Alligator mississippiensis: one gene and its partners. The protein of the gene in region 1 purifies or fractionates together with the protein of each later gene. This does not show direct contact. Links are inferred from orthologs where the notes say so. Each region holds a gene or a part of one and is shown in the gene's direction. Other genes may lie near its edges.

Region 1 (7,949 bases):
CAGGGTCTTCCCCGTGCATCTCAGCTCTGCATATCAGGGAGTCAGCTGGGCTCGCGGAAGGTTTCAAAGCTGCTCTCATGAGAGAGAGCAGCAGTCAGGAGGCATCCACAGTCCACATGCAGGTTGCCATGTTCCTGAGGCTCAGTTAGCATGGATGTCTCTTAACCCTCAAAGCAGGTGGTGACTTTTGCTGACTTGTTGGGTATTTATATATTGTAACTGTGAATTTCTGTTTTCCCACCCCCAGAACGTACCAACTGGTCCAAATAACAAACCCAAACTGCCTGTAGTGATCTCGCAGTGTGGTGAAATGTAGAGCGGTGAAAGCAGAAATCTTGGTAGGTCTGTTGTTCTTCATCAGCTTGTCTGGAGAAGTCTTCTGAGAGGAGACAGTGATGGAAAACCATCTGTTACTGTCTTGGATTCTTTCATGTGGGCATTAGTGATTTGAGGTTCTGCCAAGTTTCAGAAGAGCAAAATGTTTCATGCTGCTCATAAGAGGCAAGTAAACCTAGACGCCTGAGAAGCAATTGTTGCACTTCCTAATTCAGGGCAGGTTTGAGACTCAGTGCCTGAGCTGAGTGCCATGGAGCTGAAACCCTTCAAATGAGGGCGGCAAAGCCCACTGAAGGGCCCAGTTATTGCCACGTGACATCACCTGTTCTTAATGCAGCCAGTATCATTGTGCTGACCTACCATTAGGTCGGGTTAGATACCGTTGTGATCCAGTCTGCCCTGGGTATAGTAAGACCTGAATCGTTGCATCTGGGGACTTTGCAACCTGCTGAATGTCAGACAAGCTGCTCGGCTGGGTTTTTTTACTTCTAAGGGCACTGCTTCTCCAACTAGCTGGCTCTCCACTGTGCTCCCAGGTAGCTGACTGGAGAAGCAGTAGCCTTGGAATAAAAGCTGCAGCACCTGGGAGGTTCCTTGCACCTGTTTGGGGCAGCTCTGTCTACCCCCGCATGCTGCACAGACCCTCATCTTCACAGGGGCCTGCAAAGTATCTGGATGGTCCTCTATTGCTACACAGCAGCGCTGTGTGTAAGTAGGCTTTGGGTTACTAGCGCAGTTTCTTTTTCTTACCCTCAGCTTTTTGTTCTGTGAGCTCAGATAACGTGGCACTGACTTGTGTGCATTCTGCTTGCTGCGCCTGTTCCTGTAACTGCTCTTGTTCCTTGTCCACTCCAGGTCTGGTCACTGTTCCCACATCACGCGTCCCTGCAGCTGCCTCAGCCTGATCCTGCAGGTTACAGCTGTGCTGTTGCCACTTCACACCAGGAGTTTCAGATATTCCAGGTCTACAACTTTTTCTTAAAAAAGAGAGAGAGAAAAACCCCCCAAGTCCCAGATGTAAATAAAGCCTTTTGATAAATGTGTGCGCAGTGTGTTCAGTTAGAATAGTCAGGGTTGAGCTTTCCTGTCCTGAAGGCCACATAATCAGTCCAAACCAACCTTTGTAGCCAGAGGCTTCCTAAGGCAAGTTCTTCTTGCGCAGGTGAGCGCCTCACTGGTACAGGAGCTCCTGCACCAGCTGCCCCCTGCCTCCAGCTTACTTGGGAGGGATGTGGTGTGGGCCGAGTTGGAAAGGAGATGGCAGAGCTGCCTCGTGCTGCACCTTCGCTGGCTGCTATAAGCTGTTGGAGTGCCATGCAGTCTGACATGGGTCCGCTAGCCCTGCAATAAGGAGCCAAGCTCAGTTCTTCCTGAGCAGAATCAAAGCCATGCCGTGCAGGCTGTGCTGGCTGGGGTCCAGGGAATTGCCAGGGCCATTTTGAGGCACTTGTTTCACTCTTGCCACTCCCTGCGTTTAGATGACTAGGGAAGAGATGAGGTGAGGCGTAAAGATTTCATGAGCATGAGTTTGCTGTGACCGTGTGTGAGCACTGAAAAGGAAGGGCTGAGGTCATGCAAGTCATTTGAAAGATGTAAAAGTGTTAACGGCATGTATCTCTGCCTTGTGCGTTCTGTGCGTGCCACGTGTTGCAGAAACAATACAAATAGGCTGGAGGCAAGACTTGGAAAAATACCAGGCTCCCACAGGCTTGTCAGGTACCCAGCAGCTGTCACTGCGAGGAAAGGGGTCCTTGTTCTTTGGACCAGTGGGGCAAAAAAACAGACTTGTTTTAAGATGGAGTTTGATATAACTTGATGAACCAGGTTGTATGATGTGGGTCGCTGCAACAGCAGGGGCCTGGCCTGGATGCACCTTCCTCACCTAGAGGCTTTGTATTAATAAATATTTGTGACACTAGAGAACAGGAGGAGGGAAAAGAGAAATGAACTCTGTCGCACTGCCTAGAGGCGCTCTCGGCACGGAAGAGTCGGTAGAAAGCCAGACCCTTAGAGACCCATTCAGAAAACTAGCTCCTGAGCCCAAAATGAACAGAGAGAGCATTTCGGGGCTCTTTGGACATCAGCCCTTCATCAGGGCCAGTGGTGTGAGAAGTCGTATTATGTTACTTGTCACACCCATTATTTCTAGCAGAAAATGATTTTAACAGCTGCCCCCTATGACTGCACATTTGCCTCCACGCTCTGCCTTCCTGGTGGCCAGCACGCTGGGAGCTCTTGCCCTAGGGCTCTGCTCCATCCCCTCAGCCGCTGTACAGGAGGATAGTGGCAGAGGCCTCCTCCCGGCATCTCATAAAGGAGGGGCGTGTGTAGCGGGACCCCTGGCCCCTGCTAGAGGGCAGGTGGGGTGCAGCTTGCAGGAGGGGCTGTGAGCAGCTAACATGGGAGTGTAGAGCCTGTGTGGCTGCAGCAGAGTCGAGGGCTGCTGGGCCCAGTCTGCAGACTGGGATGACTGGTAGCACTTGGCCTTGTGACCAGAGAGCCCAGTCAGGTGACTGGAAGGTGGGGAGGGGGCAAAAGGAGGTAACATGCCCGAGTGTGGGGCTGGGGGCACAGCCTGGCCCAGATCCCCACGGAGCAGGAGCCCTGCAGGTTGCAGCATGCAGAGATAAGTGATTAATTTTGTTTCCGCTCTGGGTTTGTGGCACCCGGAGGCTTGGGAGTGGCGACAGGAGTGGGAGGAAGTCACGGAGGGTGCTGGGGATAAAGGTCAGGCTGACAGACGGATGGTTACCTGGGTTATCGTGTTTACCCGGTGGCGCGTGCCCCTGCCCTCCCCCCCGCCTGTTTTTGTGGGGCAGCATCGCGGGGAGCTCATATCTGCAAAAGTGTAGCACCTCTCAAAACTCTAGTACGGTGGATGTGCCTGTCGGCCGGGCCCCGAGCGCACACGCGCCGGCCGGGCCAGTCTGATTTTCTGATGGCGAGCCACAACCCTCGACGCCGGAGCTGTCAGATGTGGTCAGCGTGGCCCCCGAGCTGGGGGAATCAACGCTGCTAACCTGCCCCCCGGGACTGGCGTGCTGCATCTGCAGGTCAGCGGTAGCACGAGCCTTGGGGTTCGGCGTCCGGGCTCCGCTCCTGGCTAGAAGCGCGACTAGGCGCAGAGCGGCGGTTACGAGCTACAGCCCTGGAGCGGCCTGGGCCGCTTACAAGAAAAGGCCGAGCAGGTGGTGTCTGTGCGACCCGGGCTGGTACCAGCCCCAGCAGCGACGGGGGTCCGATGCGCAGGTCGCGCTGTGAGCTCCTGCCTCGCCGCGGGCGCGTTACCGCGCAGGACCAGGGGCCTTGCAGGCCCCGCGCCAGTGCCGGCGCCTCTGCAGGGAAGAGTGGTGTCGCCCGCCATCTCCCTGACCCGCTTCGGCCTGGAACGTTTTTGACCGGGGGAAGTAATCCTGGTCCGTGAAGAAACGCTCCTCCGCGGGATCGCAACCACCATCGGGAACCACGTGGGGCCCGTCCGCCTGCGCTGCCCCGCGGGAGGGCACTCCCCACCCCGCGCAGCCCAGGCAGCGGTCAGTCGTGGGGGCAAGACCGCCCCGGGCAGCTCCGCCGCCCCCGGCTGTGCGTGCGCCTCCTGCTCCCGGCCGGGCCTTCGCGCCGACCGCTTCGGCTGCACGGACGGCCCAGGCGGCCCTCGCTGGAGGGCGGGCGGGCAGCGCCTCCCGGACGCCTTCCGTGCGGGTGCGCAGGTGGAGGCGCGGCGCGGGCGGCGGGGAGCGCGCGGGGCTGCGCACGCCAATCCCCCGCGGGCGGGGCCTGCCAGCCCGCTTCACGCGCGTCCTCGCCGGCCTGTCACTCGAGCGGTAGCGGCGCGCAGCGCAGGGGCGGCGCACCGCACGGGCGGGCGGCCACGCCGCCATCGTGCTGCCCGGCTGCGCCGCCCCCGCCTACACCGGCCCCGCGCTGCCGCGCTCCCGGGGGCGGCCGTCCGTCCGTCCGTCCGGCGGCCGCGGCGCACCGCACCGCTCAGCGACCGAGACTTCCTCCTGCGAGCCTCGGCCCCGCGCCCCGCCGCCGCCTCGGGGGGAAGCAGTGCCGCGGGGAAGCGCTGGCGGCGCGGCAGCCCGCTGCACCCCGGCTGCCGGCCTGCTCCCGCCACGCGCGGCCCCGCGGCGCTGCCCGCCCGCCTGCCGGCAGCCTCCGCGTGCCCGCTCTGCGCGGCCGCTCCGCGGGGCGGGGCGAGACCCCGAGGGCATGTCCGCGTCCTGTCCTCCGGCGGGGCCGCAGCCAATCAGGCTGCAGGGGGGCGGGGAAACCAGCCCGGGAGCAAAAAAAAAAAAAAAAAAAAAAAAAAGGGGGGGGAGAAAAAACACCCCCTGCGGGCCGGAACGAGCCGCGTAGCCAATTGGCGCGCGCGGCCTGTGACAGCCAAGCCCTGCCGCCAATCGGCTTGCATACGGGCTGGACGGCCCCCTGAAGGGCAAGCGGGCCGGCCAGCGAGCGCGCGGGGCGGTGGCGGAGCGCAGCCAACGGGCGCGCGTGGCGCCTGACAGGCGGCGGCGGCAGCCAATGGGGCCGCGCGCGGGCGGGGCGCGGCGGGTGGCTAGCCGGCGCGGGCCGCCATTGTGGCCAGTTCGATCGGGATCGGGAGCGGAGAGCGGAGCCCAGCGAGCCCGGAGCAGGGAGCAGCCCCCGGCCGGCCTCAGTCACCATCAGACCCCGCGGAGCGGCGCAGCCAGTCACCACCACCGTCCGCACCCCGCCGCCGCCGCCATGAGCAGCGAGGCCGAGCCGCAGCCGCCCGCCGCCCCCCTCCCCGCCGCGGCGCCCGCCGCCCCCGCCGACTCCAAGCCGGGCGGCGGCTCCGGCAACGGGGGCGGCGGCCTGGCCTCGGCGGCGCCTCCCGCCGGCGGGGACAAGAAGGTCATCGGTGAGCGCGGGGCCGCGCGGAGGGGCGGGGGGCGGGCGCGGGCGGCCGTTGGCGCGGAGCCGTTGGGCCCCGCGTGGCGCGGGGGGGGCGGGGCGGGGCGGGGCGGCGCCTCAGCCTCAAAATGTCCGCCACGCGCGGCCTTTGTGTGCGGCCGCCACGTGCCCGGCCCCACCGCCACCGCCGCCTCCGCCTCCTCTCTTGCAGCAACGAAGGTTTTGGGAACAGTGAAATGGTTCAACGTGCGGAACGGCTACGGCTTCATCAACAGGTGAGCCTGCCCCCCCACCCCTCGGGCGCTGTCACCGGCAGCCGGGCCGGGCTCGGAGCCCCCGCGTTACACCCGCCGCACGGCCCGGCACGGCCCTGGGGGAAGGGAAGGCGAAGGCGCGCGGGGGTTTTGTTACCGACTCGCGATGCCGTCGGCGCCGAGAGGCGGCGCCGCGCGTTTTTCCGGAGTTGAGCTCGGGCCCCTGCAGCGCCGGTTACGAAGGACTGACGTCCAGCGGGAATTTAAGCCTGAGAGCGCGCTGCCCGCGGGAGCCCTTTTGGAGCAGCGTCAAGAAGCCGAGGGCCACGTTGGTGTCGGTCGCGATACCAAGGGGGTTTCTGAAGCTTTCCTCGCTTTTGAGGCTGTTCTACACTTTCTGCAGTACGGAGGGGAGCTGTGACAGGCTGGCGAGGGCCGTCCGGCAGGGCCGTGGCGAGGTGCTGAAGTCATCGTGCGTTAATAAAACGCAGCTTGGTAGCAGAGTCCTGCCGCTGCCGCCCGGGCTGTCACTGGGCGGGCGGGCGGGCGGGCGTCCGCGCCGAGCGGGTGACGGGCTCCGCGTGGCTGGGGCCTGGCCAGCGGTGTCCGACTCGCTCAGCACACCAACGAGCTGTAGCTGGGGGCAGCCGCGTGTCTCGCTGTACGGGCAAGCTCGCTGGAATTTAATTACTTCCTGCCCAGCTGCCCGGGAGCTTTTAACAAGTTGCTGTCTTGCCCTTTCCTCCCTAACTTGGTAAGATCTTGAGGTTACACAGATGAGCGTTAGGAAAATGTAAATTACTTGAATCCTGAGGTTTATGACACAAGTGAAAGAGAGGTATTTAATTACAGCTGAGGTGTGGCTTTTAATTCCTGCCATGTCTGCCTCTGTATAATGCGGAGGTGACATGACACTGAAGGCCTGCTTTTTCCAGAAGAGGCTGGGTAGGGTCTGATGTTTTATTATTTGACAAATTGACTGTACTATTCAACTTCATGATCCCAACTTTTTAATTGGATTGTCACATTTTGAAACTTAAGTGCCTTGCTTTTCTATAGAGTTGGATTTCCTGTGTGGTTGCCAACTTCTGTAGTTGGACGTTGAATAATAGCTTGTTGTTTGGTGCTAAAGTTGTAAGTTCTGGCAATTCTGCTTTTGGTAAATTTGCGTAAAACGGTACTTTGCCAGTTCTGTAGGGAACGCCGAACTACACACTTGAAGAAAAGAAACAATGCAAGAAAATGACAGCTGATAGTTAAAAGGCATCTGAATGTTTCAGAGCATGCATTGGGCTTAATCCCCTGGGTTGTCATTTTAATGAGAAGCCCAGCACGATCTCGTGTTAACAGGACTGCGCGAGAAGAGCTGCAGCCTGAGAAAAGGAGCTAAAGGGCATGTCCACAGTTCTGAGCTCTGGCTAGTTAACTGTAGGGGAAAAAAAATCCCTTAAAAAAAGGTGTGGGGCGCTTTACTGCTCTTGCATCTAACTATATCTTTCTGTGAATATATTTGCAATTCAGATCCATCCTTTTTGATGGAAACATCTGCTGGCTTAAAGACAACATTGCTGCTTTCTTTCTAATTATTTTGTGTTTTTAAAGTGTATTTTCACTCTGAATGTTGGCCTGAGTCCTAAAAAAAACAAACCTGTTGTTGTTTTTTCTAGCAGTTATCATAAATAGTAAGTGGTTCAGAAGGGCATTGATACAGCCCTGTTACTTATCTGCAATTGCAGCTCAAGTGTTTAGCGGTCTGTTAATGCCACTTCATAACAAGTCCTCTGGAGCTTTGTCTTAATCAGCAGATCTGCTCTGCATGAAGTCGGACCATAGTCCTTGTTCAGCCAGTCCCTCTTCAAGCTTTGCATTATGAAGAAGTTGAAAAGATTTGTAGTTCAACAAGATAAGCAGAAGGCAGGAGGAAGCTGAGCACTCAGCCACTTTGCATTATGAGGTGTTTCAAATGACACCAGCCAGCTACAAACCCAGATTTGTTAAAAGGGAGTGAATTTGTGGATCTCATAGTTGGAAAACATAATTTGAAGCAATGAGTTTGGGACTTAAGAAAGTCATCTACAAGTTACTAATTTATCCAGAAAGAGTACATTGATTTGTAAAGGCTTTTTTTAGAAGTAAATCTTATTGTCCGCTGTCAGACAGGATCCTGGATTTGATGGACCACTGATCTGATTAAGTTTGGCTAGAGTAGAAGTGTAATTAAAGCTTTTTAATGGTCCTTTATCATTTATAGGCTCTTATCTCGCACATGCTTAGGATTGTGTTTGTGTTCTAGTTGGTTGCTTTGAGGCCATTACAGGTTTTCCTTGAAGATGACTGGAAGTTTTGGATCATCTTAAGCCTACTAGGCATCTGGTATCTATTGTAAATCCCCTTGTTGGCATTAAATGAAGTTGAAAGGTGGACATGGATGGCTTGAGACATCTGATGTGTGGAGAGCTACGTATGGAAAATATT
Region 2 (7,502 bases), on another chromosome or scaffold:
GTTAATAGAGAATTGAAATGTAGAATAAAAGTGACGCCAGCATCCTTAGGAGATAGAATTGACTTGTCGTTAGTTGGAATTGATTTGCTTGTTAACTTGAATTATTCCACATTAAAGTGCCTTGCGTCTGTAAGCATTTTTTTCTGTTGTTGCAAATCATTTGGTGTTTCAGCAGACAGGCTAAAACACACTTTGGAAGCAGGTTTACCGAGATGGGGATGGAGTTTACCTATTCAAAGGTACACGTTGATGCAGTCTCTGTCCTGCAACAGGTCTCGCACACCTACTAGGTTCTCCCACTCAGTGCAGGGGTGAGGCAATCCAGTATGAAATATCTGAGTACAAGTCTGAGCTCATCATCTGAACTATCAAAATGATACAAGGTGAAAGTGCCTTGATTCGAGCGTAACAGTGCAATGCATGTGAACTGTACTTGTAGCCATTGCTGTGGATTATTTAATGCAAGTACACACAACCCACAAAGTGCAAGAAAAGAAAAGAAACATTGAGCGGTACAACAGCTAAGGAGGCAATTATCTTCAACTGCCTTTTATTTTAGGGCCGGTGGTAGGGGAAAAAATAACAGGTTTCTAACGGCCGAAGTTATTTCTTACAGATTAAATGGATCCAAGATGCTATTTGCAAGTCTTCGTACTGGATGTTGATGAGCTTAACAGACACAGGGCAATGGATTTTTGCATTAACTATTTCAAACAGATGATAGAATTGGCAAAACCTGAGATCAAAGAGACTTCACAACAAGTGAAAGTCTGTTGTTATGGTTGCCTGAACTATAAGATAGTTTTTATGAAATACTCTTGAAAAATAAGATGTCACACTGTTCCCCTGGTGTTACACAAAGATAAAAATATTAAAAATGACAAGCTCTGTATGATAACCCCTGGTGAAACTGAGAATTTGTTCATTTTCATATGATACCTTAACCAACATTCAGTTCTTTCAGAAGGTACTATAATAGGCTTTGAAGCTTAGTAGTAATTTGTCATCCCTTCGTAACAATATGAAAACAGTTCAGCAGTGTCTTGTTTTTTTTTAAGAGGGTAACACAAAAGAATCTCACAGTTTAGGTAACATTTTAAGTTGCTAAAAAATAGGATCTCTTTATTTCTCTGTGCCCTTAAAAGAGGTTTGGAAATTGTTCATATTTTCTCTTACTAATCTAAAAGCTTTGAAAAGATTTTTAACTCTATAGTGAATCAGAGGTTGCAGTTGAGCTGAATTATTCATCTGGGGCTATAACCATAAATTTAATTGAGTAATACTGTGAAACATATGTTGTGTACTTCATGCAATAGTACTGATATGTATTGCTCACCTAGTCAGACTCACATGGTGCTGAAGACATATCCATAAATGGCCATCCTGTATGGATACATTATATAATTATAATAACTAAAAAGTATACTGAGGTTTGTTTTCTTGTGCTTTACAACTGATTATCCTACGCATGATGCATAACATATCCTATGTTAATGAATGGTTGGACTTAATATCCAATAATTTACCAACAATATCTGTATTTACAAACATTACTTTACCTCTAGCCCCCTTTTTTCCGAAGGCAAGTATTCTCTTACAAAGTTTTAAAGACTAGAGTTTGGTTCCCTAATCTCAGCCAGAGGTACTCTTTTATGGCTTGCATCACTGTTTTAACCACACACCTTTTCCCCATCAGCTACTGCTTGGAATAATTATTAATTAACTAAAAAACTGGTGGGTGGTGTGATACTGCAGCATTCTCATCTATAAGTTCAGCCATTTATAATTACACCCTTCCCTGTCAACTGCTTGCTTTTACTTGAGCAAATTTTCTAGCCTGACATGGGTCTTGCCCTCAACAAAGGTAAACTTTCCAAGAGTTTGTACCTACCCACTAGTTTCCTTGTAAAATAAACACCTAGACTGTTTTTCAGCCTAGCCTTAAAACTATTAAAGCTGTTTGTTTTTCCTCAATAACATGCAATGTTTTCTACTTCTAGTTTCTTCCCGGCCCGGATTAAAACAGCAACACTTGTCAGAAACAGAGGAGAGGGAGTGGCAGGGCTGGGGTGTGGCAGAGAAAAGGTACAAAAGCAAATACAGAAAAAAATAATCTGCTGAGAAATTTAAGTCCTTATTCCATCAAGTTGCTCATGCTTTGGTATATGCACACTTAGTGCAGCTTCACCTGAATTGCACAGTGGGTAAGGCCTCTTATCAAAACAAGGTGGCTAAAAGCTTTCCATCTCTGGTGCTTTTATGGAGGAAAATGTTACTCCTAGAATAATCAAATATTAGCTTCAACCCTAATCGTAAGCTCAGCAGAGATGGGTATTTCAGTTCTTCTAATGCTTCATTTCATAGTTTCACTTGAAATTGTTGGTAACAGCCAGGGACAATATTTTTATTCGGGCAAAAAAGTGAAGATTAAATTAAAAAAAAAAAAATCAGTCGGGAGATTTTTGCAGGGAAAGGAAAAGCCCAGTATGTCACTACATATGCCTGTATTTTCCTTTCTATTTGTCTTCATGCATCATTTTTTCCCAAAGTTCAATTAGGATTTAATTGTTTCAGTGGTGAAGGCAAACATCAAAACTTTGGTTGCACTCCAGCGTATCCTGGGACGTCGTGGCGTGCACTCTACATTTCTGGAGGCAGCCCGTGACCGCACGTGTGTATGTTCTTAATCGGGGTTTTTATTAATACATTGCAGATATACTACCCGTTATCCTGCCTGCTCACCAACTGCATATGGCAGCTCGTCTACTTTGCCGTGATGCAGTGAATGGGAATGCTCACTTAGTTTGTCAAATGGAGCAGACAACTCCTTCACGCATGGGATATAGCATTGTGAGGGTGGGGGGGACCAGACTAGCATTGAGGTGCTATTTTCTGGGGCGCATAGAACAATTTAGGACCTTTACACATGCTATTAGCAGCTTTGCAAGAGGAAGAATCACCCTGAGCTTGCACAGAACCAGGATAAATGAGAACTACAGAGTATTTTTGGAGTGACATAGCCTCAATGGTCTAGGAAATGTGTGAGAGGCAAGAATATTTTTTTGGGGGGTGCTATCCTTTATTTAATTCAAGCTCTGCTGCTATTTGAGACCTGAGAGAGGGGTGTGTGCATATGTGGGCAGAGGTTGTGTTGCAAGCCTAATTGTCTCTGCCAGGGCCAGGCCCTGGTTTCTTGGTGCTCTGAAAGCTTTCCTAAAATCTCTCTCACCCAAGTAGTGAGTTCAGTTGATCACCTCCAAATCTAACTATGGAGGTAGGACAGATTTCTCTCTCTGAGCCTGCTGTGCCTCTAGGCCTGTCCTTTAAGGCTGCCTATGCGCAGATACTTTTACTGGTATCCAGGTTGTAGTCATGTCAGTTCAGAGGCAAAAAGGAATCGGGACTTGTGGTAGAGGTGATGGCAATCAGGACCCATGGTAGAGATGATATCTTTTACTAGACCAACAATATTTTTGCAAAAACATTTCTTTAATTGCAAGCTTTCGGGCACAAATACCCTTCATCAGGCACTGGAGAAGATTGTACAAATTCTCTTGGGTAGAAACGAAAGTTCATATTTCATAAGATTTCAGAGGTGTCAATAGATGGAAAAATCCATTTTGGTTTAATAAAAGATATCATCTCTACTACAAGTCCTGATTGCCTTTTCCTCTAGACTAATATGGCTACAACCTAGATAGCTGGTAGAGGTGATATCTTTTATTAGACGACCTAGATTTTTGCAAGGGGCAGGAAGGCAGCTGGGGTCAAATGATTTTTTTTTTTTGCAAAAATCTAGTTGGTTTAATAAAAAATATCACCTCTCCCATGAGTGGCGATACTTTTACAGATCATAAAAGGGTAAGAGCACCAGCCATGGTGCTTAGCAAAGCATGAGGACGGTGCTGCTTGGGTCAGCCTCAAGCTCAGAGGCATGGGCAGACGCAGCTCTCTCTCTCTTTTATGAGACCAACAAAATAGTTGGGGGAAAAAATTGTTCTTTGCAAGGTTTTGGGCACAAACACCCAGGCATAGGGAGAGTCTGCTGGTGTTATGAGTTCTCCAAGGTAGAAAAGCAGCAGGGGATATTTTCGTGGCTCTGTGCATGCCTCAGGGGTGAGAAAGCAATCAGAGATAATATCTTTTATTAAAAACTATTCTCCAACTATTTGGGTTGGTCTAATAAAAGATATCAGATTCACCCAAGGAACCCTGTCTGCCTATCTTTTATTAGATTTTTTGCAAAAAAAAAAATAATAATAATAATAATAATTTTGAAGTGCAAGCTTTTGGGCGCAGACACCCTTCATCAGGCAGCAAAGGTCCTTCCCAGGCCCCCAGCCCTGCGCACGCTGCCTCCTTGCAGCCCAGCCCAGCCCCGCCCCTCTAGGGCTTGAGCTGCGCCTGCGCACTGCCCCCCTCCCTCTTCCCTCCCCGGCCATGCGCAGACGTCGCCCCGCGGGCCGGGCCGAGCCCCGCGCCTGCGCAGTGCGCCGCCCGCCCGCCCGGCTGGTGTGTGCGGGAGACAAGATGGCGGCGGCGGGGGCCGCGGCGTGAGGGGCCGAGCCGACGCTGAGCAGCCGGGGCCGCGGGGGCGCCATGGCGCTCAACAGCGCCCAGGTGAGGCCCAGCCCCGCGCGGGGGGCCCGCGGGCCGCTGGCGGAGCCGGGGGGCGGCGCGGGGCGCGGGCAGCATGCTGCCGGCTAGGCCCCGCGCCCTTCTGCGGCCTCATTCAATCGCCTCGCGGCGGCCGCGGCGCCTCCCCGCCCCCTCCCGGGGCCGCTCCCGCGCCCGCTCCTCCGCCGGCTGCGCTGCGCCGCGCCGCGCCGCGCCGCGCCGGGGAGCGGGGCCGGGGCCGGGGCCGGGAGGTTTGCAGACAGGACTGCGGGGCAGGGTGGGGCGGGTGGGGGCAGGGGGTGCAGCACTAGCGGGGGGCTGCTTCCTTTTCTAATTTATTTTCTTTTCCTTTCTAATTTATTTTCTCTTTCCTCATTTCTTTTCTTTTCTAATTTATTTTCTTTTCCTTTCTAATTTATTTTCTCTTCTCATTTCTTTTTCTTCTTTTCCTAATTCCTTTTTTTCTTTTCTTTTCCTTTATTTTCCTAATTTCTTTTTCCTCCTCTTTTCCTAATTCCTTTTTTTCTCTTCTTTTCCTTTCTCTTTTCTCATTTCTTCCTTTCACTCTGCCAGGCTCTGGTTTCTCCGGGCTATCCCTCTTCCTCCCCCTTAAGTGGGAGCAGCTCCCTCATTGGGGTAGCGCTGTTTGTCGGTCTGTATTTCTCTGGTTTCTGAGTATTAACACCCCTCCCCCCTTTTTAATTTTTTTTAACTTGGACCAACTCCCCTGTTGGGGTAACGCTAGCCAGGCTTTCCAATGCAAAGCTGTCTGCCTCGGGCACAGGAAGCTGTCTTTGTGCCCTGGATGAAATGCCCTCTGCCCTCCCCTTTCCTTTGCGTTCCTCCTTCTTTCTTTTTTGTGGACGTTAGGGGAAGGTTGAAAGGTGTCCCAGCAGCTCCGTTTGGGCCTCGTGCCTTTGCAAGAAGAAAAGGCAGGGGGCGGGGCGGGCAGGGGGCGGGGCGGGGCGAGGCGGGACACATGTTTGAATGGGCAAGGTGGAGGCTCGGGGTTTTAAAGACGGGCGTAAAGCAGCAGTGCCTGCCCGCGCTGATGGGCGCTGCTTTTTGTAGGCAGACGAGGTTGTTCGGGTAAATCGGATATCTTTTCTTAAACCAACTCAAATAGTTGGAAAAATTCTTAGCAAGTTTTTGGGCTCAGACACCCTTTGTCAGGCTGAGGGAGCATCTTTTTGTAAGCATATATCTTGAAGCGGGGGGGGGGGGGGGGGCACGCCAAAGTTTTCCTGAACTTGGATTGCGTTGTCCCTTGCACGGCGGCCTGCTACCTGTTGTTTCATGGGGTTGGGGGAAAAATGACATTTCATCCAAAAAAAAAAAAAGGTGTTAAGCTAAGATGGTCACGTACTGCGTTTTGTTCTGTTTTCTTTCTGAAAGTTATTGACTAAAATATACAGCTCTAAGAAAACTTCCTATTAATTATAGCATTTTTGAAGCACAGTTTATACTTGATGAAACTACTCTAGTTGCATTTTTGTCGGGCCTGATTTTGTAAGCTTTTTTTTTTTTTTTTTTTTTTTTGGACACTTAGTGCTTGGTTTCTTTGCCTTGTCATTGTACTTAAAGTTTCTACACCTTGTTCATTTGTACTTAATGTATTAGTACGTAGCATGGTGCTTATATAGTTTTATGCTCCATAACTTTGCAAGAGCTTGACCAATACATGGTAATTAGCAGGCAGACTACAACTTGCAGCGTTTGAAAACAGAAATCTCAAGGTTCAGCTTGCAAGCATTTTTGTTTTCTTCTCCATCCACCCTGCTCTCAGTCCCCAGAGTTGAGTATAACAGGCATTGTATACAGGTATTTTTATTCAGGTATCATGTGAAACTGAAAGGCGGGTTTTCATGATGTGCCCATGGCAGATCTTGGTCCCTGTCCTGATGTTTCTTTTTGAGAAATAGTGCTGATCAATTAGTAGGGCTGATCAATTAGTAGAACTGCACAATGCTTAAAAATAAACTAGTTTAAGTGTAACATGCCTTCACCTTTGCTTTTTCCAGTACTTGCTTTTTTTGTAATGAAAATCATTAGGGCCCTGATCCAAAAGAATTGAGTTTAACTTTACATACCCTTGAGTATTCTTGTTGTCAGTGAGATTGCCCTTAAGGTAAAAATCAGTATATCAAACTCAGGATTTAAGCCCATTTGTGCATATCTTTAACAAATGAGTTGATAGAACAGTTTTGCCAATAATCTTGGTAAATTTATTTTTATCAGCAGATTTTGCTCATCTGTATTTTGTTCTATAGAAAGATATTGCTTTAAATGCTTAAAGTAGGGAGGTGAGTAAAACTTGGCAGGGAAATGACTTCTGAGGGCATCCTCAAGAGAGCAGTTTATGGAACGCTGAGGTGAAGAAGAAAAGTTTCTTATATGAATGAAGGTGAAGTTTTTGATGCAGCTGTGTTACTGATTTTTAACGTCATCAAAATGTATTAGGGTAAAGACTGAGGAAAAAAGTTTAATATGAACAAAATGTTCCAAGATTGGAACTCTAAATCGCATAGTATTTGTCTTCCCCCAAGATAGGTATTTTTGAGTTTAATTGCTAAAAATAGTTTGTCACAAAGGAAAGATCATAATTTGCAGCTCAAGAAGACTGTTGTGAGAAATCTGAAACACAGAGTCAGATTTTGCACAAACAGTGTTCTCATACCAAGAGATTTTTAGCAGGATGGGGGAGACTAAACACAGGTTTTCATTACACATGTAGTGCTTTTATTTGAAAGGAGAGTGTCTGACTCGTTGAAAAGCTCAGTTTAAAATTAGTTTTGATGATCCGTACAAAATGCATTTGAGAATATCCCATCACAGTTCAATTGCACTGGCTGCTTGTGCTTTTTAAAATTATTATTCTAAGAAGC
Region 3 (7,256 bases), on another chromosome or scaffold:
CAGCTCGTCTGCTGGGCTATGAAGGAAGATGGGTGTTAGGCTGAAGAGGCTATTACAGACATGGCATCTGGAACCAGCAGAGACATTCTGGTCTCCAGGGAGGGGAACCAGGTGTTCAGCTTTTGCCTGGTATGCAGAGCTTAGCCTGAACAGCTGCACTTGCAAACAGGGGTTTAAATGCTCCTTGCCCCAGAGATGGTTTTCTCAGGCAAAACCTGAAATTGAGAGAGCTTGCAAAGGAGAAGGTTGCTACATTCCTGCTCCGAGGTTACCCACTTCTTCCACGTCCAGCCTGGACACCTCTGGCCCAGAAGCCTCCTTCTCCTTCTGCCTTTTCCGTTTCCTCTGTCCCTCCTTTTGGCTTCCATTTGGCACTGCCTGTCGTGGCCTCTTCTGTGACTGACTCTTGTGAGACCTGAGAAAAAGACCCAGAGGTCACCTCTGGCTCTAGTCCCAGCTGACTGGGGGTAGTCTGCAGCTACCCCAACACCAGCCTCCCCTGACAGAAGAGGATAACTCTGGTTACAGATGCTCCCAACACCCAGCCTTTACCAGTATGAAATGCAACAAGCAACAGAGCAGAAGACTGGTGTCATTCTGTGTGTAGTCACTGGCAACACTTCTGCTAAGCTTACCAGAAACCTCTGCAGTAAGAATTCTAACCTTAGGTATTTCTCTAGTTCTACTACAGCCAGTGCCAGAGTCTTCCCAGGAATCTTCTCCATGACACGAGCCACAAAGCTCCGTAAAGTCTCCTTCTGTCCATCTGTGCTAGACTGGACTTCCTGCAAAGGCACCTGCAAAATGCCAGTTAAACCCTTTAAATCACACAGGCTAGGTCACAGTAGGAAAAGGTAATCGCTGGTTCCTGTACTACTGGAAAAATCAAATCCCTCAGACAGAAGAAAAACAGCTGCATTCTGAGGTTGCCTTCCAGTCCCACAGCAGAGGTGGTTCTATTCATGTCAGTGTGAAAGGTCAGGCAACGTTTAACATTCACACAGGCTAAACAAAGATCACATTAAAGTACGCAGCACCTCACCTGTTTGTAGTTGTAGATCATGGACACAAACTCCTCTGTATGAAGCAAAAGAAGGACGTTGGGTTCTTCTGTCCAGCTCTCTTCTTCCGCCTGCCCAGAGATGAAGACAGCTAACATCGAATCATTAGTGCAAAACAGTCCTGTTCTGATCCTAGCTGCAATGATGCTCAGGTTTACAGCCACTCATGGCCACAACATTTAGGAGGCAAGAGGGTGGAGCTGCTCAGGATGGTGATAATTATTGCCCAGGCAGCATCCAGTTATTAGCAATCAGAGAGAAAATATCCATGAGACTGAGACCACTGAGGCTGTAGGGAGCAGAGAAATGGGCCAACTAAGAGGAGAGCACTAAGAGGGGTTGGTAGAAAGTAAGGGTCTGAGAACACAGATAACCCATCACAGGTTTATCTGACATTCGTATACAGCATCAAACTACTTTACAGAGAACCAATGCTAGAGACATCAAGTGGAAATGCCAAGGCAGCCTGAAAAGTGGGGAGCAAACCGCAGAGCAGAGGTATCAGCTAACACCTCTGGGGAACGAGGAGAAGAAATTGAAGTGTGCGTTTGGGGAAGTATGGGGTCACCAGCTCACAAGTACAGCGGGGAGTATGCTGGAGAGGAGCATAGCTATCAGCAAGGGACCCTGAAACAAATTTCAAGAGGGACAGGATGTCAGCAAAGGTCACAGAGAAGGCAGGCAAAACGATCCCAGGTCCTGGAAGAACAGCATGCCAAATGGGCATGTTAAGACTCGCACTAGAGAAGGATTTGAGCTAGCGCAGAAAGGGAGGCAAGGCAGCAACAAGGATTTCAGAAGCAGCAAGGCCAAAAGGAGGAGACCATTTTAGGGACCATTCCAAGAGAGATTAAAAAAAAGGAACAGGGTTCACTTAGATCAAGGAGACACGTCAACATTTCTACCCTTGCAACCAGGGTTAAAAATTTTTGAGTTTCAGGGATTTTGGAGATGTACAATGAGATTTTAACACAAGAGAATGACTAATTCAGAAGCACCCCACAGTACGGAGTTATGGGTTAACCACAAGCTAATGGAACCGCAGCACTTTGCATTTCCGAGTTGACAGCTGGTGGGTGACTACAGCTACAGGACAAGAAACCCTCACACCCAGCACAGAATAAGAGAAACCAGAAGCATCAAGGCAGCTGCTCAAAACCTGACCTGTTTTCCCTATCTATATCAGTAAGGTTATTTTGCTGTGGTGCAAAATAACCGCACAGCTTACCACATGGAAGGGGGGGGGGGGGGAAAACGGGACGGGACGGGACACAGACTAGCTGTAACAAGAGGCACAGAGGCAGCAATCCTGACTTTGTATTCTTCCCCTGGGGGGGTGCATTACACAACGATATTCCCCAGCCGCTCACCAGGACCAGCTCTAGGTCCCTTTCGTGTTACTGGAGCAGTACAAAGAACTAGTGCGGGCACAAGCCAATCCAAATCACTTGGTCTTCTTATTTTTGATACCCACTTCCTGATACTTTAAGCAACCTTGGAACAAGCCAAGGCATCTGCAAGCTGGGGAAAAGAAATCCATTTCAGGCTTTTAAAGAAAACTTGTCCATTCCCATGGATTTACCGACAGACAAAATGCTACAGCTGCTCTGGTACGTGGGCTAGGACTGTTCATTCTCACACTGAGGGATGACCTCTACGCAGCTGAAGCTTAAACAACACAGAACACGTCTTCCATGGTAAGTAATCAAATGGGGGGGTTGAACTTGGGGAATATTTTTTGATCACAAATATTTGAGGGTAAAGCAAAAGCCTGTCTGTCAGGGACTGAATCAGGCCACCAGAGACAGTCCTTTATTTACCATCCGAGGTCTACTCCCAAAGGTGGGTTGAAAATAAGGTCTGTGCTTGATGCCAGCATCCAGTCCCAAGAAAAATGAGACTTTGAGGTCTTGGGCCCAAATACAACACCTATTTCAAGGCAAGAGGGACCTCCATGGTTTGGTTTTAAGGTTCATCAACAGCTGCTCAGCATCACTTAGTCCTTTACCACATAGTATATCACATAGCATGAAAGCAAAGCCACAGGCCTGCTCTTTCCCCAAAATGACAACAGCGAGCCGTCTCCTGAGGGAATCCCAAAGTCAAAACAAGGAACAGAATAAGCCCATCTCCTCGCTCGCTCGAAGGCGCTTCAGCGACAGTCTGGACGAACGCGTGGAGCTGCTGCGGTCCTTCCAGCTCTCTAGGCATCGAGCCCGGACGCGTGCGAGATGCTGTGGAGCTCACGGGGAGGCGAGAGCTACCCCTCGGCTCGCGCATTAGGAGTATTTCTAAGTCCGCGTCCAAATCCGCGCAGATCTCGCTCGCCCTCGGCTTTGTGGCTTTCCGTCTTCTCAGGCAACTGCCCGACTGCGGGGCCAGACGCGCCGGTTCCTCAGCTCCCCGCGGCGGCGGGCGGGAGCCGGAGGCGGCAGGAGACGAGGCTATTTCCCTGGTGGGTGCGGGCAGCCGCCCTCCGCCCGCTCAGCAGCGCCGCCCTCGCCAAGCACACGGCACCGCGGGGCAGACCCGCGCCCTGCCCGCCCGCCCGCCTGCGACTCCGCGCCCCGCAGGCTGAGGCCACGAGCAGGGGCCGTGGGGGTGCTGTACCTGCGCAGGCCCCGCCGCTCTCCTTCTCCAGGCCATGCTGCCAGCCACGGGCTGCGGCTCGATGGCGCAGGCGCAGCCCAGGGCCTGCAGGGCGCTCAGCACCTGCCCTCCGCCGTCCGCCTGCAACAGAGCTGAGGGGGCGTCAGGGGCCGGGGAGGCCGGGGCATCCTCGGGGGCCGGGGGGGGAGGGGGAGGGTGTGAGGGGCCGGTACCTGGGTCCAGCACGGCCGCCACCTGCTTCAGGCCGTCCTGGCCCCGCGGCTGCCCCCGGGCCGGGGCAGGGGGCGGGGGCGGGGGCGCGGGCCGGCAGGCGGGGGCGGGGGCCTTGCGCGCGGGGGAGGCAGGGACGGCGGAGGACTGGGCCGCGAACTTCCTGCGCAGCCGCTCGCATAGCGTCGGGGGCGCCTCGTCTTCACTGTCGCTGCTGAGTAACGAGATGGGCGCGGCGCGGCCCAGCGGCCCGAGGAAGACGCTAGCGGTCGGCAGCACCTCATCCTCGCTGTCGTCCGAGCCCAGGGACATGGCGGCGTTTCAACCTCCCGCCGGCCTCGCCTCGCCCCGCCCCTGCCGGAAGCGGAAGTAGCGCGCGCCGGAAGCGGCAGCGCCGGGGCAAGATGGCGGCGCTGGTGCGGCTGGGGCTGGCCGGGGCGAGCCGGCTGCGTGAGTGGGGGCGGGGCTCGGGCGGGACGGCGCGCGGCGAGTGTCATGTGCTGCCCGCGGGGGGTGCCCCCCGGGGGAGAGCTGGAGCCCGCGCCTCCTGCCCCATCGACCGCTCTCTGTGCTCCGCTCCCTACCCCACCGGCTGCTCTGCTTTCTGCTCCGTGTCTCATCGACTGCTCTGCGTTCTGCTTCCTCCCCTGCACCTCTTGCCCCATCGGCTGCTCTGTGCTCCACTCTCTGCCCCGTCACTTGCTCTGAGTTCTGTTCCCTGACCCATCGATTGCTCCGAGTTCTGCTTCCTCCCCTGCATCTCCTGTCCTGTGCTTCCACCCACCCTGTCTGCTGCTCCGCTTTCCACTCCCTGTCTTGCACCTCCTGCCCGTCCCCTCCGCTCCCTGTGCTGCCCCTGCCCTGGGTCGGATGCCCCCGAGCTGGAGTGCGCTGTGACGGGCAGACAGAGCGAGGAAAAGCCCCCAGCAAGGCCGGACCACGCCAGGAGAACGGACCTGCCCGTTCCGAACACTGGAGGCACCGGCTGCTCCCGGCCCCAGGGCAGACCTGCCTGAGGCTGCAGCGATCTGACTCGGGTTAGGGACCAGGATGCGTGCCGGGTGTGCACCTGGCTCAGTGGGGCAGCACTGCCTGGACACTCAGCGTAGCTGACACCTGGTTTCCTTCCCAAACTCTTCACAACAGGCCACGCTGCTGTTACCCTGCGACTGCCGTGGTGCTTAGTCCGGGACAGATGAGGTGGCTGGAAGCCAGGCCAGCGACCTGCTGCCTTGTGTCTGATCCATGTTTGCTGCCGCTCAGTTTTCACGTGGAGCCTGGGGGGTCTGGCTTTGACCAGAGTAAAGCGAACAAAGCTGAAATGGAGCAGAAATCAGAGCAGGGTGGCAGCCTTGTAGACTAGCTCTGGAGTAGCCACGTGGCACAGGCAGCCTCTGTGTGGCACATGGCAGACCAGGGCAAGAACTGGTAGCATAAGGGCAAATAGGGCAGGGAGACAAAGCTTAAATAACAGCAGATCAGGTTGGGGAGCACAGAACAGGGAGCAGAAAGCAGAGCAGCAGACTGGCTTAGGGGTACAGGGCAGGGGACAGAAAGCTGAGCAGCCGATCTGGCAGGGGAAGGGGGTGGGAGTGGCACTCGGGGAGTGTGTGGGATTAATTTGTGGCATGCCTGCCAAAAAGACTGGTCCTCTGCTGAAATGCCTTGTTCAGAGAGGCAGGAGCATTCGTGGGCTACAGCCTACTTTATGAAACGGTTTTGGCATCTTCTCATTTGAGAAACTGGGGCTGGCACAGAGGCAATAAGGAGTGGGAGTCTAAGCTTAAAACGTAAAGCACAGTGGAGACATTTTCTGCGCGGAGCTCAGGACCTTGGAGCGCTGCCTCTGATTTCCAGGGAAGCTTTTAGCAAGTTGTATAATTGTGCCTTGATTTCTCTGTCCATAATAGGTAGATAATGCTTTCCTACCTCGTTTAGTGCCGTGAGCCTTAATTGCTGTTTGTAAAGGGCTTTGCCATCTACTTGGAAATAAAAAAAATACCTTGGAGAGCAAAGAGAGGTATTTTTTTAGGGATTACATTCGTCTGCAGAAAGGTCTGCAAATCTCATTACTTCTTTTTCCTACCTCCCTGCTATTTACCCAAGTCACAGTCATTTTACTTAACATATTCTAAACATGTTAGATGAATGGTACCTTGTAGTTTAGCTTTCCCTTCACCCTTAATCTTTGTTAGGTGCTGAGTATCTGTGATCATTTAATTAATATAAAATTAATCCAGCGCTTTTCTGGGAATAAGGGAAATGAAACCACTCTGTAGCAGCATATAGAAAGCTGAATGGAGGGATTTAAAAGAAAGGAATATAGCTGCTGACCAGATGGAAAAGACTTAATTCGATCTGGGGCATTTCTGACAAACCAGAGTTCATAACAGGGTCAGAGATCTCGATCTGAAAAAACTGACTATAGTTACTGACTGGATTTTGTATATACAATTTTAAATGGCATAACTGTGATGTGAAGGCACATATGGGGTTTCAAAGAGAATAAAAGACTAACCACTTACTGCAGCTATCTTTTTTTTTCTAACCGTGGTTAAAAACCCTGATACAAGACTCCAAGAAAGCACTTATATACCTCCCTCAGCTTGGGTCTTAGTACAACTTTGCATTTTTAAAGGTACTTATCCCAGACTGCTAAAGTATTTTATAGTAAAACCAAGGACACGGGGTGGGGAAACCAAGCACAGAATGCTTGCCACATGCTCACAGAGCAATTTAGTGGAAGATAAACTCCCAAGAGTCCTGAATCCCAGTGCTCAGGTCATTAAATTAAATTGGTGGTTGATTTCTCTAACTGCATCTGGAGCCTAGGAATTTAAAATGCTAGAAGAAGTGTTACTATTTGTGCTTCCAAGTGCACTACTGAGAATTCTTCTCTTTCATAATGGACGGGGGCCATGTGGCTTGGTTCCATGCAGAAGAGAGGTACACGAGGAGGTAGACTTCATAATAGATTTCCTCTTCAGTTCTTTTACTGTCTTTGTCTCTATGTTGAACTGACAAACCAAAGCTTTCCTTTTTTGCATTTCAAAGGAAATGCAGTCATGTTTTGGAATTAGAATTTCTGGATGTATTTTGAATGTGCAGTGGAAATTCTTAACTGGGTTTTCTCTGTACTTATTCTTCATCCAAATCTAGTCGTGACTGCTCCCCAGGTGAGCGCAGTTGCAGCAAGGTGTGCATCCAAGAAATCCGGGACCAGCCCAAAAAACAAGGGTGGTCACAGAGTTGGGAAGCGGTATGGATGGAAGAAACTTGATGGTAGGTCCATCTGTTTGCTTAGCTGCTTTCAGCTTGCGTTCCACCAGTTAACTCCTTGCCAGGGAGTGCTTATGGGGCACTACTGAGCTTTGG
Region 4 (7,185 bases), on another chromosome or scaffold:
GCCCTCATGCTGTGCACAAACCAGGGGGGCACATGCCCCCCATGCCTTGCTCAGGGGTGTGCACAGCGGCAGGGAACCACCCCCCACCCCATGCGCCCTCCAGATGAGCTTCCCATGGCTCTGTCCCACTCCCAGTGGAGTTGCACTCACCGCCCTGGCTGCGCAGCACCTGCCCCTGTCCTACTCCCTGCCTCACCATGGGGGCCTCAATCTGCACACCCCCTTTCTCCCCTGATGCCCCTTCGCCCACAGACTTACAGCCAGACACTGATCTCCAAGCTGCTGGGCTGCATTCCCGGCTGTGTGCATGCCACAGCTGCATGCATGCATGCACGCAGCATTTATCCCTGATATTATTGGCCAAAAAAAGCCGATTACCAATTATGTTAATTTTCCTGTTATCTGTGCTGATTCGAAATGCGACTGATATATGGGTGCACCTCTACTTAAAACTGTAATAACCTTCATTTACCCCAGGCAGCAATCCATATTGAAATGGAAGTTCACACTCAAATCACTGCTGAAGAATTAACCACCTGCTGTTCTTTGCATCTCTGTTAAGTCTGAACAAATGCTGTAACTGATCAATGCAACATGTGGGGTATAGCAGCAGATACCTGGCCCCACTGCAATGAGGTTAAGTGCAAGTAGGAGACAGCAGGGAAGGCTACAGAGCAGGAAACTGCTGAGGGGAAAGACAGCTGTGCACAGCTGCATTCTGCCTGATTCCTTGTGCTGCCCTGAATCGAGTCTGACCTTCAACTGGATCTGGTGTGGGAGCCATAGGCTGACAATCCCTGCTCTAGGCTTGAAACTTAGTTTTGAATTTGTATTTACATCTTTTTTGCAATAGGAAGTTATTATCCTGCAGTACCAATTTAATGCAGTGAAGTCTCTTCTTCAGATATCAGCAAAGTCCTCAAATATATATCACCATATTTCAATCCCACACTGTTGAGCAAAGCACTTAAAGTTAAGTCTGTGGTTAAGTACTGCACAGAGCAGGGGGCTAAACTAGCTGACCGCTAAAGCCCTTTTCCGTCTTATTTATCTATGATTTCAGGTGCTTTGCTGAGTCATGGCTTCACATCATGTCAGTCCTTTAAAGTAAATAAATGGTGATGACACTGCTGACTCCTTTAGTTTAAATCAGGGCTCCTGAACTAGCAGCCCACAAGGAGTTAATTTATGGACTCATTCTCTCTCCCCTCCCACAACTTGGTTGCCCATGCCCTTTTCACTCTAGGCGGCAGCAGCAGCAGGGGCTTAGGACTAGTATTCACTGCCTAACCCAGCCTCTGGGAGCAGGGCAGGGCAGCACAAAATGGCACAGCCCATGGTGCCAGGGAAGCCAGCAGCCCCAGGAACATCTGTGCAGCATGATGCCACTAAGGAGCCTGCAAAAAGCTGCAGGTGAGGCTGGGCACCTGCTTCTGTGCATGCAGTGCAGTGGGGTGAATGAGTACCTGTCCGTGTGCTCAGTGCAATGGGATTGGGAAGCACTTACCCACCTGGAAAACAGTACAACAGGGTAAAGAAATCACCTGTCCTCACTCACAGTGCAGTGGGCTGGGGGAGCACCCACCTGTGTGTGCAAGGTGCAGTCTGAGGGGGCCCATGGCCTCTGCTAGTGCAGCCCCCACTGACTCATCCCATGGGGCATACAGTCCCCAGCTGCTTAGAAGTTGGACAGCTCTGATTTAAATAATGTGATGACAACAAATTAATTTACAGCCAAATACAATAACAAGAAGTAAGGCAATTGGTATGAACAAAATGGTGATTCTATGAATTTAGTCACTCAAACTAATGAAGGAATATTGTTCTGTGCTACATAAAATGAACATATGTAATAAAGTGAGAGAAAACATACCTTCTTCTTTGCAAATGCATACTTCTTTCTCACACTGGCATCTAATTCCACTTTCAGCCTAGGTTTGGATGTGAGAGGAACAGATTCTTTCAGATCCAGCTCTGGAAATTTTAATACACAAGACTCCACTTCATCTTCTCCAGCCAGCAGCTCCGAGGAGGAAATCATTGCTACAGCACCAGAGCTAGGCATAAGTTTCCTAAAGAAAAAAGGTGCAAACAACGTTTTAGTATGTACACTAAGTAACATTATTTCAGTTTCACACATACATTTAAAAGAAAAGAAACTCATTGTTAAAAAATATTTCTCTGCAGTCTTTTACTGTCACTGTCTTACAACAGCAAAAGAGTGAGCAAGCTGCAAGTTCTATCCTATTATTAGGACAACATTTTAAGAATATACAACAAATTTCAAGGAAGAAGTAATCAAAGATCTGTCCTAAGATCCCCAGCATCAAATAACTGAGAGCAGAAATATCAGACTAAGTAGTGAACAGGAGACTTGTGCAGTCCCCTCCACACTTTAATTTTGCCAGATGGCTTTAAACCTAAACAATAACTATTTTTTAAAAATCCTGGCCAGTTTACAACTGTGTGATGGATCAGTGGGTCAACTATTGCACAGGGGATTAGAGTTTGATGCTAGAAGGTACAGTTCTTCCTCCCTATAGGCCTCCTGTTCCCTCTGCTCTCATTTGCAGGAAGCTAATTCTGCTGAGTTTGGCTACTGAAGGAAGCATGTCTAACCCCACACCCTTCATCCTGGAAATGCTTTGGTTGAGGAACTATTTACAATTCACAACCTTTTTGCAACCATTTTTTCCTAACAAAACAGCAGCTGCAAGGCATTTATCCCAGTGGTGAAACTATCAATACAAGTCAACCAAACCCACAAGATGCAGCAATGAACTAGGCAGATAGATGTTGCATCTGGAACACTGGCTCTCAAACAGAGGGGCAGCATCCCCCTGGAGGACCATGAGAACATTTCAGAGGGTCTGCCTGGCCCAGTCCCCCTGGGCTGAGGCAAGTCCCAAGGAAGGGGTGGGAGTGGGCTTGCCCCACCATCTCCATCTTCTGGGTGGTGGCTGTGGGCAGGCAAGTGAGGCTCTGTACTGCTGCTGCTCAGTTGAGTGGCCACCAAGTCCCACTCTCTGCATCCAGGTATAGGTGAGGCAAGCCATGGAGGTTTTATAGCATGCTGGGGGAATGGGGTGAAGAAAAACGTTAAGAACTCTTAACCAGGACATGGTTCTGGGTGTGTCTGGTGTTCTCTCTCTCTTATTGTGAAACTTTTTCAGAAGGACCCCCACAGCCTGAACCTCCACCAGGCAGGTAGCAGTTCAGTGGCACAGCAGATTTCCAGAAAATGCAAACTACGTACCAGGTGTTCGCAGCGAGGGCCACGTAAAGCAAACAGGTTAGGAGATGGTTTTAAACAGGCAAGTCTGTTGTCAGCGCAGAAGACAATGGGTACCTCCCTGAGCCGAGTCACTGCAGATACCCCATCTCCACTGAGTGTGTCCCCCCTTGCTATCCTGCAATAGGTCCTCTGGCGTCTCAGGGGCTGCTGTACATTCAAATGAAAGCTGGATAGAAACCAGCTACAGATATCACCCATTTTCAAGAACTTTTTTGCTGGTTGGTTCTTTTTGTAGCCAGGGGCATTTTTATGGTGGGACAATTACTTTACACTTGCAGCTGGTCTAAACTTATTGTGCAACTGACCAGTGAATCGCAGAGCATACAGAGCGTGTAGCCAGGGCCTGGGCCAAAGGCCTGGCCCGAGGCGCAGGGCTGCAGGCCTGTCTCTCATCTGCACCCCTGGCAGCCCTCGGCGCCGCCAACTGCCTCCCGGCCCGAGGCAGCCTCGGCCGCAGCGCAGAACTTGCCCCGCGGAGACGTGGTGGAGGAGGCCGGGCCCGAGCCCGAGCCCGGCCCCGGCCGGCCCTCCGGAGAGACCGAAGCATTGGCTTCGACCAAATGCCGAAGGCCGCGGGGAGGCACCGCCGCGAGTGCCGCGGCCGGGCCGGGCGCACTTTAGTCCACGGAGACATAAGCCTCGAGGGGAGGGGAGGGGAGGGGAGGGGCTGGGCCTCCCAGGAGAAGGTGGCTTTTACTCGGACGCCGACTCAGGCTGCCGGCTCACGGCGACCGCAGCACTTACTAAACTCTTAGTCCGGGCCGAGATATCCCGCGGGTCTCGCGTGCCCACGTCATGTAGCGCCTGAGCCACTTCCGGGCTGGGTAGAGGACGGCGGAAGCTACTGCGGAGCCTCTTCCTCCTCTTCCCCCGCCCTTTGCCCCGGAAGGCGCTTGTGGCCGGCCGGAAGTGGGGAGGGGGAACAGAGCGCGCCAGAAGCGCCCGTTGCCGCTGCGGCCTTCGCTCCGCGCAGATTCTCGCCCGCCCGCTCACGGTCCCCGGTGCCGCCCCGCCGCCCGGCATGTCGCGGAGGAGGCACAGCGACGACAGCGATGGTGAGGGCCCGGGTAGCGGCGCCCAACCGGGCAGCGCGGAGCGGCAGGGTCCCGGGGCCGCCCCGCGCTTCCTGCCCGGGGGGCGGGGAGCCTCCCGGCGCGGCCTGGGCATCTGCCTGCGACCAGCTGTAGGCGCTGGGATCCGCGCGCGGGTGAATGTGTCGGCCGCGTGCTGCTCTCGGTCCCGTGCCGGGAGCGTGGCCGCGTCTCGTTTTACTTTGGGGAAACGAATGCGAACCTTATGTTCCCAAGGGCTTTGTATGGTTTGCTAGGTGTGGGGCAGGGGCCAGGGCCTGTCAGCCATTTGGGGTTCCTTGTCAAGTAGCAGGTGCTAAGTGCATGTCAGGAAAGGAACGTGGGAGGTAACATCTGTGGCAGCAGTTCTGGTTGGCATATCGTTCCTAATGTATCTTATCTGCATCGGCAGTGCTGTGGCTCCTGCGACCCTGTGCAGGATCCTCCGATGTGGAGCTCTGCTGTCTTCCATAACTGCCTCTAACCGTGGTCAAACTCCTCCCGTGTCCTGGGCTGGATCAGCATTCTCTGGGCTGTATCCAGCCCAAGTCATGAGGAAGCAGCAGCTCCAACTCTGACCCAGAGCACATGATGGTGGTGGTGGTAGCTGTTGCTCGGACTTGGGGTACACAGCAGCATCTCTGGCTCCAGTATGGGGCATGGGGCAGGGACCAATGGCCAGAGAGTCAGGGGCATGGCAGGTAGGCATCACATGCAGAGGGTGACTGGGGCTGTGTGAGCCCTTGCTCACCTTACTGTCACCAGTTGCCTCAGTCACCATGTCCTGAGGTCCATGGATTTGGCAGCAGGCCTCCCACTGCCCACTTTCCCCTGGTCATGACCCACAACTTCTGGGGGTCCAACTGCTGGTAGTCCCATAGTCCAGGTAGAATGGCTGTGTAGGGTAGACCTGGCCTGTGGGCCATGTTTGACACCTGGCCTATGATGTTATAGGGAAGCATTCATGCAGTATTACTTAGGATCTGTGGATCTGGCAAATTATTGTTGTATATAAGCCTTGCACATCAGTATACTGTTTAAAAGTGGCTGTCTACGTACGCATTGTCCACCTAGATTTTGATTTTTGACGCTACATTAGATGAACAGAGAAGGCAGAAACAAAGGGTGAAATGTTTCTGTTAGCCTGTGAAGCTGTATTATAGACCAAAAGAGGCTTCCTATCACTCTGAAACTGTGAAATTCCTTTATAAGGAGTGATATGGACTAGCACAGCATGTTGGTACTATTTGCAACAGAATCCAGCCACAAGCACTGCAAAAAACTAGTGTGCTATTTCACATGGATCTTCTCCCTCATAGCAACTAGTAGTCTGCCTGATATCCTGGAGTTCTGTTCCATGTGCAGCTACTGGATAGACTGACTACAAGTGCTAGCCATATGCAGATGACTAACTGCTCTACTTTTACCTTTTTATACAGCCATCTCAGTATTACCAAGGTATCCCAGTGCCTGCACAAAATCAGTTATAGATGGACAGCATCTGTCTAAACATAAACATGACCAAGAGCTAGTGTGCAGCCTTCTTTGGTTAAAGATGACCATAGTAACTGGTCAGTTCAGTCTGTGGTATTGGTGAGGAGTGCAAGAACACAGATCCTTCTGTCACAGACTGTTTCTTGCTGCCTTGGCATCATCTTGTCCTGGCAGACAGTGACCCCAGTCTATTCTACACACTTTTTGTCATTTCCCATCAGGTTTACTGTACACTTGAGGAATAAGCCATCAGCATTTAGGAAATCTGAACAGTAAAAATGCTGCAATATTTCCTCAGTGATGTAGGCTGCAGTAGGGACATCGGATTGGCCCTCTGCTCTTTTTCTTTATAACATAAAATCAAGTTTAGGTCACTTTTCATGTTTTCAAGGTGCTCAGCTGCTTGGAGTCAGTACATCTAAAGTGTTATCTACGGCTCTGGGGAGACTGTTGTTGACAGTTTTGCTGTTCTGGTGTGGTGGAATCTTCTGCCCAAATGGGAAAACATGTTTGTGCAGGGAGTGCATTCTAGTCTGGAATTAACTTCCTCGGGAATAGAGGACTAGCATCAGCCTTACCACCTTCTGCTGCAAAGACAAAGTGCATTCTACCTGGCTTGTCAAATGGACAGAATGACATGTATGCTTTAAGAAATAAAACAAGATGAGCTAACTTTATGTAAAAATCTCCTCCCACCACTACCTCAGGAGAAGACAGAATGGCAACATTGGCTTAAAGCACTGTTAGAGTATGTTCAGATATTAGTGACATGAACAACATAACAGTATGTAGGAAAAAAATAGAATAGGTTCAGCACTTTGGGCATATATAATTAAAAATGAATTAATAGTAGATTCTCTACCCATGCAGAATTTTATTATTTTACTGCTTGGGTTTTTTACCTTTTACTGGCAGAGATGAATTCCAAATCATTGTTTCAACTTTTAAACCCTTTTAATAAGTCTCCGTTTTTTTTTTTAGTTTGCCAGAGTCTCAAGTGTCTAGTCATTTTCCCAAATTAAAAAAGTGTAAATACATTTAAAGGGATCTATGATACAATCCCTTGCTCAAGGTTCATCACATTTTAACACAGGTGTCAGAGAACACAATGGGATGCTTAATGGGGAACATAAAATTAATAAAGTTAATTCTCCAGTCATTTTTTTAGCTTTATAATATGCTGCTATTGGCATTGTGAAATTACTTCCTAATAAGATGTCAAAATTGGGCATTGTATGAAGAGTAAGATTTGTGTAGAAGTACAAATGTTGTCTTTGTTAATTTTAACATTTATTTGGTCTGTCTTGGATAACAGTAGTAATGTCG

What was found.
Region 2: the proteins of YBX1 (region 1) and USP10 purify together in Homo sapiens (co-immunoprecipitation; 3 studies listed by BioGRID and IntAct, with this or other methods). This does not show direct contact. The link is inferred for Alligator mississippiensis from reciprocal best matches to the Homo sapiens genes YBX1 and USP10.
Region 3: the proteins of YBX1 (region 1) and MRPL27 purify together in Homo sapiens (affinity purification with mass spectrometry; 3 studies listed by BioGRID and IntAct, with this or other methods). This does not show direct contact. The link is inferred for Alligator mississippiensis from reciprocal best matches to the Homo sapiens genes YBX1 and MRPL27.
Region 4: the proteins of YBX1 (region 1) and NCBP1 purify together in Homo sapiens (co-immunoprecipitation; 3 studies listed by BioGRID and IntAct, with this or other methods). This does not show direct contact. The link is inferred for Alligator mississippiensis from reciprocal best matches to the Homo sapiens genes YBX1 and NCBP1.

Annotation. Positions count from the first base shown.
Region 1 is NC_081836.1:1,388,548-1,396,496, forward strand, and holds the start of YBX1 (Y-box-binding protein 1), read left to right. Parts: upstream 1-4,934; 5' UTR 4,935-5,070; coding exon 5,071-5,227; intron 5,228-5,431; coding exon 5,432-5,495; intron 5,496-7,949. Other genes in the region: PPIH (peptidyl-prolyl cis-trans isomerase H), read left to right, coding at 248-316. UniProt on the Homo sapiens protein: DNA- and RNA-binding protein involved in various processes, such as translational repression, RNA stabilization, mRNA splicing, DNA repair and transcription regulation.
Region 2 is NC_081833.1:72,402,513-72,410,014, forward strand, and holds the start of USP10 (ubiquitin carboxyl-terminal hydrolase 10), read left to right. Parts: upstream 1-4,501; 5' UTR 4,502-4,599; coding exon 4,600-4,620; intron 4,621-7,502. UniProt on the Homo sapiens protein: Hydrolase that can remove conjugated ubiquitin from target proteins such as p53/TP53, RPS2/us5, RPS3/us3, RPS10/eS10, BECN1, SNX3 and CFTR.
Region 3 is NC_081831.1:11,348,593-11,355,848, forward strand, and holds the start of MRPL27 (large ribosomal subunit protein bL27m), read left to right. Parts: upstream 1-4,251; 5' UTR 4,252-4,285; coding exon 4,286-4,331; intron 4,332-7,040; coding exon 7,041-7,163; intron 7,164-7,256. Other genes in the region: crossover junction endonuclease EME1, read right to left, coding at 277-415, 664-797, 1,043-1,132, 3,672-3,802, 3,884-4,193.
Region 4 is NC_081826.1:152,928,572-152,935,756, reverse strand, and holds the start of NCBP1 (nuclear cap-binding protein subunit 1), read left to right. Parts: upstream 1-4,178; 5' UTR 4,179-4,316; coding exon 4,317-4,350; intron 4,351-7,185. Other genes in the region: TSTD2 (thiosulfate sulfurtransferase/rhodanese-like domain-containing protein 2), read right to left, coding at 1,874-2,065. UniProt on the Homo sapiens protein: Component of the cap-binding complex (CBC), which binds cotranscriptionally to the 5'-cap of pre-mRNAs and is involved in various processes such as pre-mRNA splicing, translation regulation, nonsense-mediated mRNA decay, RNA-mediated gene silencing (RNAi) by microRNAs (miRNAs) and mRNA export.